3 linked regions of the Nothobranchius furzeri genome follow. The protein of the gene in region 3 interacts with the protein of the main gene of each other region in a pairwise test. Links are inferred from orthologs where the notes say so. Each region holds a gene or a part of one and is shown on either strand. Other genes may lie near its edges.

Region 1 (2,685 bases), on a different chromosome or scaffold from region 3:
ATTGAAAAGAACAGCTTTAAGATGCATACATAAAATACTGAAAATAAATATTTACAGAGGACTATTGTTTTTTACATTACAATTAAACCAATCAATGTAAAATTAATTATAAAAAATTAATCAAATATGCATCGCTTTTGAGTATAAGGTTTGCAAACAAGGTGGATGCTGCACATTACACCCATTGAACCACTGGTCACTTAAAAGGCACAATCCACAATGGAAAAACCTCTTTCGAGATGAGTTGTCCTAACAATAATTTAATGCTGTTCATTTTTACAGCATTATGCCTTGTTCGATATGTCTGATCTCCATTATATTGGCAAATTTTCTTTAAAGGTGTAGAACACTGAAATCCCACTTTTAAGATCTTATTTTTTATTATAATCGGCCACTCTGAGATGCAGGCTGAACATGAAAAAATTCTATGCCTAGCTCCTGCATGCAAACTAGATGGTGAAAACTCAACGATTTGAAAAGACTGACAGATCTACATCACATTGTCACCAAACATTCATGGGGTGTTTCTTAATGTGAAGGAACTTTGACTTGACGTCTTGGTCCTGCCCCGGTTGCCTAAGAGAAACATCATCAGGAACCGCCAAGGTGTGTTCCAATGTTCATGTTCTACCGAGGCATCCTAGCTGAGCTGAGCAAGGATACACGGGAGGTGCCTTGTAGCCTGGCCCTGGTCAAAAATTTCCCAGAATATAGCATATATATATATATATATATATATATATATATATATATATATATATATATATATATAGTTGCCTATAGTAGTTGCAGATTCGGTTGCTAACAGGTATAAGTTGCTTACATATGTACACAATTTAAAAAGTATAAGGCTTGTTATACGTTTATATTGAAACTCATACGCATAAAATATAACGTTACCTCATGTATCACGTGACAAGACATGACCGCCGTGGAAGTTGTGGTCATGTCATGCAAGTCTGTTCCATTTAACCGTTTCCTTTGCCCAAGGAAGGACAGTGTCCTCGTAAGCGAGGCCAGGCTCCTTGACATTGAGAAATACCCATGGACTCACCCATCTTGACCACAACAGGGAAGGCTGTTGTTTATTTAACATCCAGGAAACAGCAGAGAATGTATTGGCTAGTAGAAGCTAACTGTTAGCATCAGCAACTTCACCACACAGCAGAACTCCTCCAGGCTTATATGGAAATAAAAATCAACGTTGCAAAGCAAACAGAGTCAGTGGTAGAGCTGTTTAGCTGTCCGAATTTCAGGAAATCAGACTCCAAAACATGCCGTCTGAAGCTCAGCTGTGATGTGGCTCACTTCTAGTTCCTGGAAATGGTGCATCAGTGCACCCCAAGTACGACTAATAAGGCATTCATTCCTACTGCAAACATATTGATTGAATGAGTGTTCCACACCTTTTAGGCATTTGCTTAAACCGTGAACAATAAATCACTTATTTTATTTTATTACATCAGTATTTCCTGGCACAAAATTCCAGATCCAAAAGGATGTCAATCATGGACTGCTCATTTAACACAATGTAAACCATATTTGCTCATGATGGATGCTTTCTCGTTTGGCCCTTTTATTTTCTTTTACCCATTTTACCTAATAGTTAACAGTTGCAAAATGGCATAATCCAACACTTACAGTTAGAGAAATAACGAGGACAAAAATAATCAGCTGAACTCCAGCCGAGGCAGCTGTTGAATCAACACGTTACATTCTTCAGTGTGTGTTCGTCACATTCAGGTTTCTTATAATCACAGCCTGTATAGGAAGAAAATATTGTTAGTATATAATTTAATGCTGTGAACTATAAAACAAAACAACAGCGAATTTTATGTAAGCATGTGTGGCAAGTAGAGAATTTAGATATTTGACAGCTGTGGCTACGTTGTAAAGGTGAAAGAGTGAAAACGATGCACGTTGTGAAGATAATTAGCTGACATTTTGGGAAGCTGCATGAAAATGTCAAATGTCAGCGCGAAAGCATGCCATAGCCTGGTGAGCCAATGAGGGAGCCAGAGACACCAATTTGTGGGTGTGTTGTGACAATGGAGTGAGGAGAGGTGAAGCCATTATGTGCTCTGAGGGGGGCTGATGAAAAGGTGATGTAAGATGAAGAACCAGTGCAAATGTAGGCAGTTTTGTGTGAGGTTCTTACTGGTCGATGGTCCAGTTGAGCTTTCCTCAGCTTCTGCAGCATCTATTGACCCAATAGAACAGCTTTCGATATGCAACTTGTTTATTTTACTTAAAGAAAACAAATGACTGCTTCAGACCTCGTTTCAGCCTCCTCCTTGCAAGTTTGATCTGGTCTTGAAGGATCTGCACCCAATCTCGAGGCCCTGGCAACTTCTCTATTCTGTGATTGGTGCAGTATTTTTCTGTAAACACTGGCCACAAGTCACTCAAATAATTAGAACATTTGTCTTTATTATGCCAGCAACAAAGAGTGAATTGATCTTGTTTTACCTTTAATTGCACCCACAATGTTTTGGTCCAAACCCTTACGGTTGTCATTGAGCCCACGTTTCCTTTTGCCATTTGGCAGAGAGTTGGCCAGAGTAGCGTCATCAAAGAAGGCACACACCTAAGGACAAAACACAGCTCCTGATCTTAGAAGTATGTTTAATTTTTGCTTTTTAAAATCCCAGAAGCGTACCAGTTTGCGAAACAGCAAGCTGCCAG
Region 2 (3,657 bases), on a different chromosome or scaffold from region 3:
GCAACAAATGCTGTTGCCAGGCAGACCGAGAGGGCGGAGCCACTAACAAATACACACACACAGGCTCACGACAGCATTGTGACATCATAATGTACCAGTTTACATCATAGCATGCCTCTTAGCCAATAGCGGTGGCAGATTTAAATTCAAATACAGTTTTTACCTGAAAACGGCACAACACTGTCAGTTTTAGGCAGAATATTTAAATTTGAACTAAGATGCACGGAAGTGCCAAATTATTGACGACACGTGTCTGCAGCACGATTAGACACTCGTTTTAGTTTATCAGCAAAAAAAAGGTTGATTTGGGGGTGACTTGCGCTTTAACTTACTATGAATGACTACATTAGTTAAATATAAATGACTAATGACTGGAACAAAAAATGTATGTCCAAATGTTTTTTATAAAACTGGATAATGGTCACCTGTAAAGGTTCCTGAGCCTTTAAATGGTCTCTCAGTCTAGTTAAATTACAGAAATAAATGTAATTTTGCACAATATTTTAATTTTTCTAGCTTCACATAATTGTGTGTTTTAGCAGCATTTCTGTAGCTGCTAATCTAGTAATGGTTAAATAAATAAATAAAATCCTTTAAAATGACACTAGAAGAGGCACGAGCCTGATGGAGGACTTACATTTACTAACGTGGGTCAGACCCAACCACAGAAGAGCTGAAGCTGGGTGGTAAACACACACAGGTAGTTCTAATAACACCTGAGCTCCATGACGTCTGAGACTGATGCATCAGGGTTACAGCGGGACTAAAGACATGATCAGAAACAGGTTACAGCTGGATGATCTAGGAAGGTAGAAGGTCAGGACGTCTGAGCGGTGAACAGGTGAGCGGACCTTCGGCACGTCCCGCTGTCACGCTAAGAAGGGCACGGCTGCAGATCCACACCTGCAGCAGCGAATCAGCAGGTCTGCAGCGGTAGATTCATCACGTCTTCCTCGTTCTTCTCGAGCAGTGATGCTCTTGGATGAAAACATCCGCTTCACTTCACTGCACTTCAACACACCGCGCTGCTGAATTAGTAACGCATGGATTTTCTCATGAGTAGCGGAAACGGCGTTATGGTTGGATTACTCGTTGATGAAAACTAGCTTTTTAGTAACGCCATTATTTCAAACGGCTTCATTTCCATCTCTGACTGTGACGATGAAGCAGGAATGTTAAAGACATTTTAAAACGCCGGGCAGACGAGGTGGAGGTGAAACTGAAAGAGGAAAGTGCATCACATAATTACGAAAAGGGGGACATTTTTTTTATCTGTATGAATTTGCGATTTTTGAGGCAAGTTTCCACATGAGGATGAAACGAAAACGAGGACCACCTCACAGCCTGTTTCAGTGATTTTGGCATATTGGCCAAAAAACGCCAGTGGCCACATTTTCAGTGCCTCCCTATTTATAGGTGAGTACATCATTGACTGTTTGATGGACGCTGACTCCGCGCCGTCAGCCACTTCCCAGAAGTGGACCAGCCCAGGTCTACCTCCGGGAAGTGGCTGACGGATCCTGGAGTCAACACCGGGACCAACCTAAAGCTAAACATTCAGCACACAGATCTTTTACCACTAGCTGACCCCAAGCCAGATGAACATTACAGTACCTTCTCTGCCGTGCGGTTCCACACGGTGACAACATGGCCCATCTTCAGCAGGTTGGAGACAATGCCACTACCCATGAGACCCAGGCCCAGAAAACCTATCCTGCAGGACAAGAGCAGCACACTCGTCAGACAGTGGAGGTTTCGGCAGCCATCTGGGTTCAAGTCTTGGTTGTTGGAGTGAAATTACTTTTAGTCGACTAAAACTTGGGTTTTTAGTTTGACAAGTAATACTGACAGATGAATGTATAAGTCACACGGTTACACTGGTTGTTTACCAACATCATTTATTTTTAAAGAGCAAGTCAACCTCAAATCAACTTTTTTTGTTGATAAACAACATAAATGAGTGTCTAATTGCTCTGTAGACACGTTCAGTCAATAATCTGGCACTTTAGTTAATCGTAGTTAAAATTTAAATAATCTGCCTAAAACTGTCAGTGATGCACCGTCGTCAGGCAAAAACTCAGCACTGCATTTGAATTTAAATCTGCCATCGCTATTGGCTAAGAGGTACACTATGATGTTAGATGGTACATTATGATGTCACAATGTCGTGAGTATGTATTTTTTTGTGGCTCCGCCCTCTCGGTCTGCTAGGCAACAGCATTTGTTGCATTTTTCAAACAGGAAGTGAGAGTTGAGTAAGAATCTGGTAGGGGGTGACTTGCTCTCTAAGGCTAAAGGCAGAGAGAGAGAAAGAGAGTGGAAAAAAACCCCGAGCGGAGGCAGTGACCGACAGCACGAGCCGTTTTCAGCTTAGTCTTGTCAAATGCACCACGTACGTTACAAATATAGTAACTTTAAAAAGAGGCGAGCTGAAGAAAACCTAGGGAGTACCGAAGAAACGGGAGCAACAGTGAAGCACAGAGAAATCTCTCTCTGTCTGTCTGTCAGACTGAGACTGCAGAGTTTTGTGTATAGGGAGGGGCGGGCTCTATGTTACTGGCCAATCACAGAGCGTGAAGACAGTCAGTTACTCAATGAGGATTTTCCTTCAGCAACATTACAGATATTTACGAGTTTTACTCGTTTCTTGATCGTATTCGTCAAAAATGCTTTATCCGTACCGGATACTCGTCTCCGGCTCATCCCTACTTGATACCGTGTGACTGATCTCAAACATCAGTCACAGAAAAAACACCCAGTTTAAGAAACGTGTTAATGTCCAGAAGAAGCCTCGTTGCCCGTATTTCTAATCGTTTCACTGTTATTTTTTAGTTTTTGCCAAATGGGAAAAAATTAGCATTTCGAGCTTAATTTTCATCCCATCTCGTCCAAAGTGACAAAACTCATGAGAGTCTGGTCATGTTCAAGTCAGCAAAGAGCCGTTTTTAGATTTCCAGCATCTTGTTTCATTTTGACAAAAAGAGATCAGAGGGATCAATTAGTCATCATTGGTGAAAACAAGCGTGGAGTCAGGGCAGGAAAACAAAGGCCAGCGGTCTGCAGGCATGTGCGACGAGTCGGTACCTTTTATCTGTTGGTGTGATGCTGCCATTAATGGCTGTGCTGTCTGCTGCTTGGATAGAAGTTGAGCCAGTCACCTGTGTGGAGGAAGTCAACTGTCAGTGTCACCGCTTCAACAGGTAGGGTCTGAAACTCGCCCTGCGTTTACCTCTTCGATGATTTTCAGGCGTTTACTGATGGGCTCCATCGACGAGGCTGGCTGTAAGCAGAGAGGAAGGATGTGAGATCATCGTCACTGCACACGCACACACACACACACACACACACACAGCATGAAGAACAGTTCATAAGATCTTGCAGATGGTTTGGTCTCACCTTTTCAGACTGGATGAGCAGAAAGTGATGGAAGTGCGGATCGTCCTTGACCGGCTGGAACACAACAAGACGTCAGAATGAATGTGCTGTCAGCTAGCGTGGACCTAAAGGCAAGGCTTCCATCATGGTGGCTTCTAAAGCTAGAAATGCTGCTCATCTAGAACTCACAAGTTGCTCAGGGAGGAGCACCAGCCAGATTAGCCGATGCAGGTGTGAATGTGTGTGTAATGAATGAATGAATGAACCCACGGAGACATTCCT
Region 3 (4,245 bases):
CCGATTGGGCAGAGTTGACAGTGATTTCTAAACAACACACACACACACACACACACACACACACACACACACACACACACACACACACACACACACACACACACACACACACACACACACACACACACACACACACACACACACACACACACACACACCTCTGTTATTTTCCATGAAGAAACCTAATCTGGTTAATTGAAGCAGAGATTTAAGAAAAACAAAATGCAGGAACAAACCTGACAATTAGAAACATTAATTTAAAGGGACTTTACGGAGTTTTGAATGTTTATGCTCGTGATTGCCCCCTCAGGCCAAAAGCGGAACGGCAGCTTCAATAGTAGGCTCGTGCACGAGGCGCGCATGCTGTACGTGCACACTCCTTAACGAAAATAACAGCTGAGACAGTCCCTTGTGTGTGTGTGTGTGTGTGTGTGTGTGTGTGGCCCGGAGGACAGAGGACAGGAGAACACGCAGCTAATTCAATAATTTGGTTCTGTACCTTTCTCTTCAGCACAGCAGACAAAGTGAAAAGTTGAACCCACATCTTTTTTATCTGTGAATTCAATGCCGTTCGGCGAGTCTCAAATAAAAATTTGGCCGTCTTACTGTAAAAAATATATCAATGTAAAAAAGAAACTCTAAATAAACTATGTTCACATCCAGAATCGAACCCAGGTCTTCTGCAGGAGAGTCAGACATCTTACTAGGTGTGCTAAAGCGCCAGTGACGTCCTTTGTATCTGTAACATTTATATCCTGTACAGCTGAAACAACGTTCAAAGAACGGTTCGGAGGGCGATGCCTGAGCGTGAACGCGCATGAAGCAGCCTGCTCGACCCGAGCATCTCTCTTTTTCTGTGATTTTACAGAAAAACAGGCAATCACAGTAAAAATGCCAGGGCTCATTCTACAGGACCAGGGCATTGCAGGAGAATGTATGAAGAAGACATTTATTATTTCTACACATGTTTTGGCTGTCACACTTCCATAATGCCCCTTTAAGTGAAGTTGTGGAAGAATTAACTCAATACTCCACTTGCCCAAAAGTAAGAATTTACTACATTAACTTGGCATAAAGAGAATTGACTTAAGATCTGTTTTCACTTGCATTGAATTATAAACACTCCAGTTGATTTTTTATCCGTTCTACTAAGCAGCATTTATATTGTGGTTCCTTGTTTTTTATATTGTTTTGCACTTACATGTGTATTTAATTCTTTCCCATTTTTGTATAATTACTTGACTTGTTTTTATATATATATTTTAAAATATTTTTATTGTTTGAAGACTTGTTTTCTTCTCCATTATCCCTCCTTTTGACATTGTACCTCTATTTTTACCTTATGTAATTTTATTGAGTAATCATTGTTTTACTTTTCTTTGCCTCCTTTCATTTTTCACCCTAGACTTCAATAAATAATCTGAACAAAAAGGAAAATCAAAAATGGGGATTATTCAAGCCAGCTGCCAGTCTTGCTTGAGCCCATGGGAATGGTATATGGCCTGTATTTGAATACCCCACAAGGTGCTTTACAACATAGTCATTCACCCATTCACACACACATTCACACACTGGTGGGGATGAGCTACGATGTAGCCACAGCTACACTGACAGAGGCGAGGCTGCCGAGCACTGGCGCCACCGGTTCCTCCCACCACCACCAGCAGGAAAGAGGGTTAAGTGTCTTGCCCAAGGACACAACAGCAGCGACAAACTGAGCAGGGCTCAAACCTGCAACCTGATTACCAATTACCATGACAGTGGTTATTTCAGTGACTCAACACACAAAGAAAGAAAACCTATCTGCCATTAAAAAATCATGAAAGACATTGAGAAATAGGAAAGATTTCAGAGAATAAAAAAAATATTTGCTCCTGGAACAAGTAGCAATGCTCAAAACTGGCGTGAGGTGTATTTATTTCTTTATTTTAAAAATCTCATCAGTTACCTCTCTTGATCCAGATGTTCTTACGGAACTTGGTGGGCATGCTCACCAGGAAGGTCTCGCCCTGAGCTGTGATTGTTTCATGGAGGTTGTTACCACGAGTACCAATAACCTGAGAATGTGCACAGGTACAAAATATAGATCCGAGTTAGAGAGGTACCTTTGAGTAGTTTTTAAAGCAGCTGGGAGCAAAAGCAAACATGGTTTACCTTTACAATCTGCTGGTTTTCTGTTGGGGTGACGAAGTCTTCCAGAACCTCTTTGACAACATGTTTGCGTTTGGTGGCCTGTGACATGATCTATACAGTTCAGCCAGCTAGGAATGAAGACAGAGGTCAAAAGGCAAGTAATAAATTATGTGATACAGACAACGTTTGTCGCACACTTTAAACAGACACCAGGTAATAGAATTGATCTACATTTGGCTTTTAGCTGAGCTAATATCAGCAGAATAGACTTCTTACACATTTTACCATGTGTATGTTCACCCTTAAACTTAACAAATACGAAACATTATACATATCCTTGTGAAATACTAACATGCCACATAAAAGTCGAACTAGTTAATATGACGTGGTTTTCCGAAAGTAAACAGTGCTGCGAAGCTAGCAAAGCTAGCTCAAACCAAGCTAGTGGGTATTCAACTTCCACGTAAACCACACATTTTCAATTGTCGTTGAAAACATAAAACCACCTTTTTGATCTATATCTTTAAGAGCTGGCGTGTTCTTATTTACTCTATTTTACATTAATGTGACTTTTAGCTGGATATGCTAGCATTTACGTCGCTGTAACATATTTTACACGGGTCGCGCTTTTACCTCGAAAACGAAGACGTAATGCTGTCCTGTGAGACAAAGCAGACTGTAGGAGCAAACAGTATAGCAAAAAAGAGCTTAGTAAGTCTATTCTTAATTATATGAGCGAAACCACATGCGTTTGAGTTATCTGGAAACACGCCGAAGAATTTCCGGTGTTTAACGGGGCTTATGTTTTCAGAATAAAAGCACCCATTTCTGAGTCTTACTCGTTTCCCACCTAATGATCGTGTAACAGGAAAGATTTCTGATAAACATGAATACAGTAGGAATCAAACTGTAGTTTACAAATCAGCCAACAGCCACTGTCTTACTAAGGTGGGTAATTGTGTGATTTAAAACCTTTTATTTTGTTAGCCCAAAAAAAATCTCTATTTAGTTCTTCCAGGGCTGATGTGGCTTGAATTGTGGACGGTTGAGTTTTATTTTAAAATGAGCAACGTTCACAATCACCCACATTTATAACCATTGCTACTACAGCATAAACCCTAACCACTCCTGTTTCATTGAAATATGTCCATAACCTTAGTTTACCATACCTTTTAAAATGTGTCATCACATTAGTAAAAATCAATAATACTAAATAACATAAAAACCCGATTACTGGAAAGCTCAGATATGCATTTATAAATTTCAAATACTACACTGAAAAAATGCATAACTTTTGTTTTTGCTCTCATTTTTCATGAGCTGAACTCAGACATCTGAAACTTTTTCTGCACCCACAAAACACCCATGACTCTCAAATTTTGTTCTGAAATCTGTCTACGTGTGTTAGTGAGCACTTTTCCTTTACCAAGATAATCCATCCCACCTCACAGGTGTGGCATATCAAGGGACTGATTAGACAGCATGAATAATGTGTAGCTGCACCTAGAAGTTAGATGCCACCCGCCAATAAACACGACGAAGAAGAAGGTAGTGTAGCCAGAAGGTCTTCAAGATGAAAGAATTGGAGGCAAACTGCAGAACAGTGAGTTTTTTTTCTTCCTTGGGAGCCAATATGCTACCCAGGCTTTTATTTCATTGCTTTTTGTTAAAGAGCAAGTCAACCCCTACCAGAGTCTATCTCCACTCTCACTTCCTGTTTGAAAAATGCAACAAATGCTGTTGCCTGGCAGACCGAGAAGACGGAGCTGCTAACAAATACACACACAGGCTCACGACAGCATTGTGACATCATAATGTACCAGTTTACATCATAGCATACCTCTTAGCCATTAGCGGTGGCAGATTTAAATCAAAATACAGTGCAGAGTTTTTACCTGACAATGGCACAACACTGTCAGTTTTAGGCAGAATATTTAAATTTTAACTAAGATGCACTGAAATGCCAAATTATTGACGACACGTGTCTACAGCACGATTAGACACTCGTTTATTTCGTTTATCAGCTAAAAAAGGTGATTTGGGGGTGACTTGCCCTTTAAGTCAGAAAAAGAATCTCCTCAAGCCTCCACATGGCTTCTTTTAAATAACATA

Evidence for each region.
Region 1: the proteins of eif1ad (region 3) and bend7 interact in binary tests that used the Homo sapiens proteins (3 or more experiments, as listed by UniProt). The two-hybrid records come from large-scale screens. The link is inferred for Nothobranchius furzeri from reciprocal best matches to the Homo sapiens genes EIF1AD and BEND7.
Region 2: the proteins of eif1ad (region 3) and glyr1 interact in binary tests that used the Homo sapiens proteins (3 or more experiments, as listed by UniProt). The two-hybrid records come from large-scale screens. The link is inferred for Nothobranchius furzeri from reciprocal best matches to the Homo sapiens genes EIF1AD and GLYR1.

What each region holds. Positions count from the first base shown.
Region 1 is NC_091744.1:72,597,922-72,600,606, forward strand, and holds the end of bend7 (BEN domain-containing protein 7), read right to left. Parts: coding exon 2,660-2,685; intron 2,588-2,659; coding exon 2,470-2,587; intron 2,391-2,469; coding exon 2,277-2,390; intron 2,201-2,276; coding exon 2,159-2,200; intron 1,762-2,158; coding exon 1,703-1,761; 3' UTR 579-1,702; downstream 1-578.
Region 2 is NC_091758.1:13,131,161-13,134,817, forward strand, and holds part of glyr1 (cytokine-like nuclear factor N-PAC), read right to left. Parts: intron 3,451-3,657; coding exon 3,397-3,450; intron 3,281-3,396; coding exon 3,230-3,280; intron 3,159-3,229; coding exon 3,085-3,158; intron 1,715-3,084; coding exon 1,615-1,714; intron 1-1,614. UniProt on the Homo sapiens protein: Cytokine-like nuclear factor with chromatin gene reader activity involved in chromatin modification and regulation of gene expression. Acts as a nucleosome-destabilizing factor that is recruited to genes during transcriptional activation.
Region 3 is NC_091741.1:29,807,857-29,812,101, forward strand, and holds the start of eif1ad (probable RNA-binding protein EIF1AD), read right to left. Parts: upstream 2,910-4,245; 5' UTR 2,767-2,909; intron 2,262-2,766; 5' UTR 2,242-2,261; coding exon 2,155-2,241; intron 2,058-2,154; coding exon 1,949-2,057; intron 1-1,948.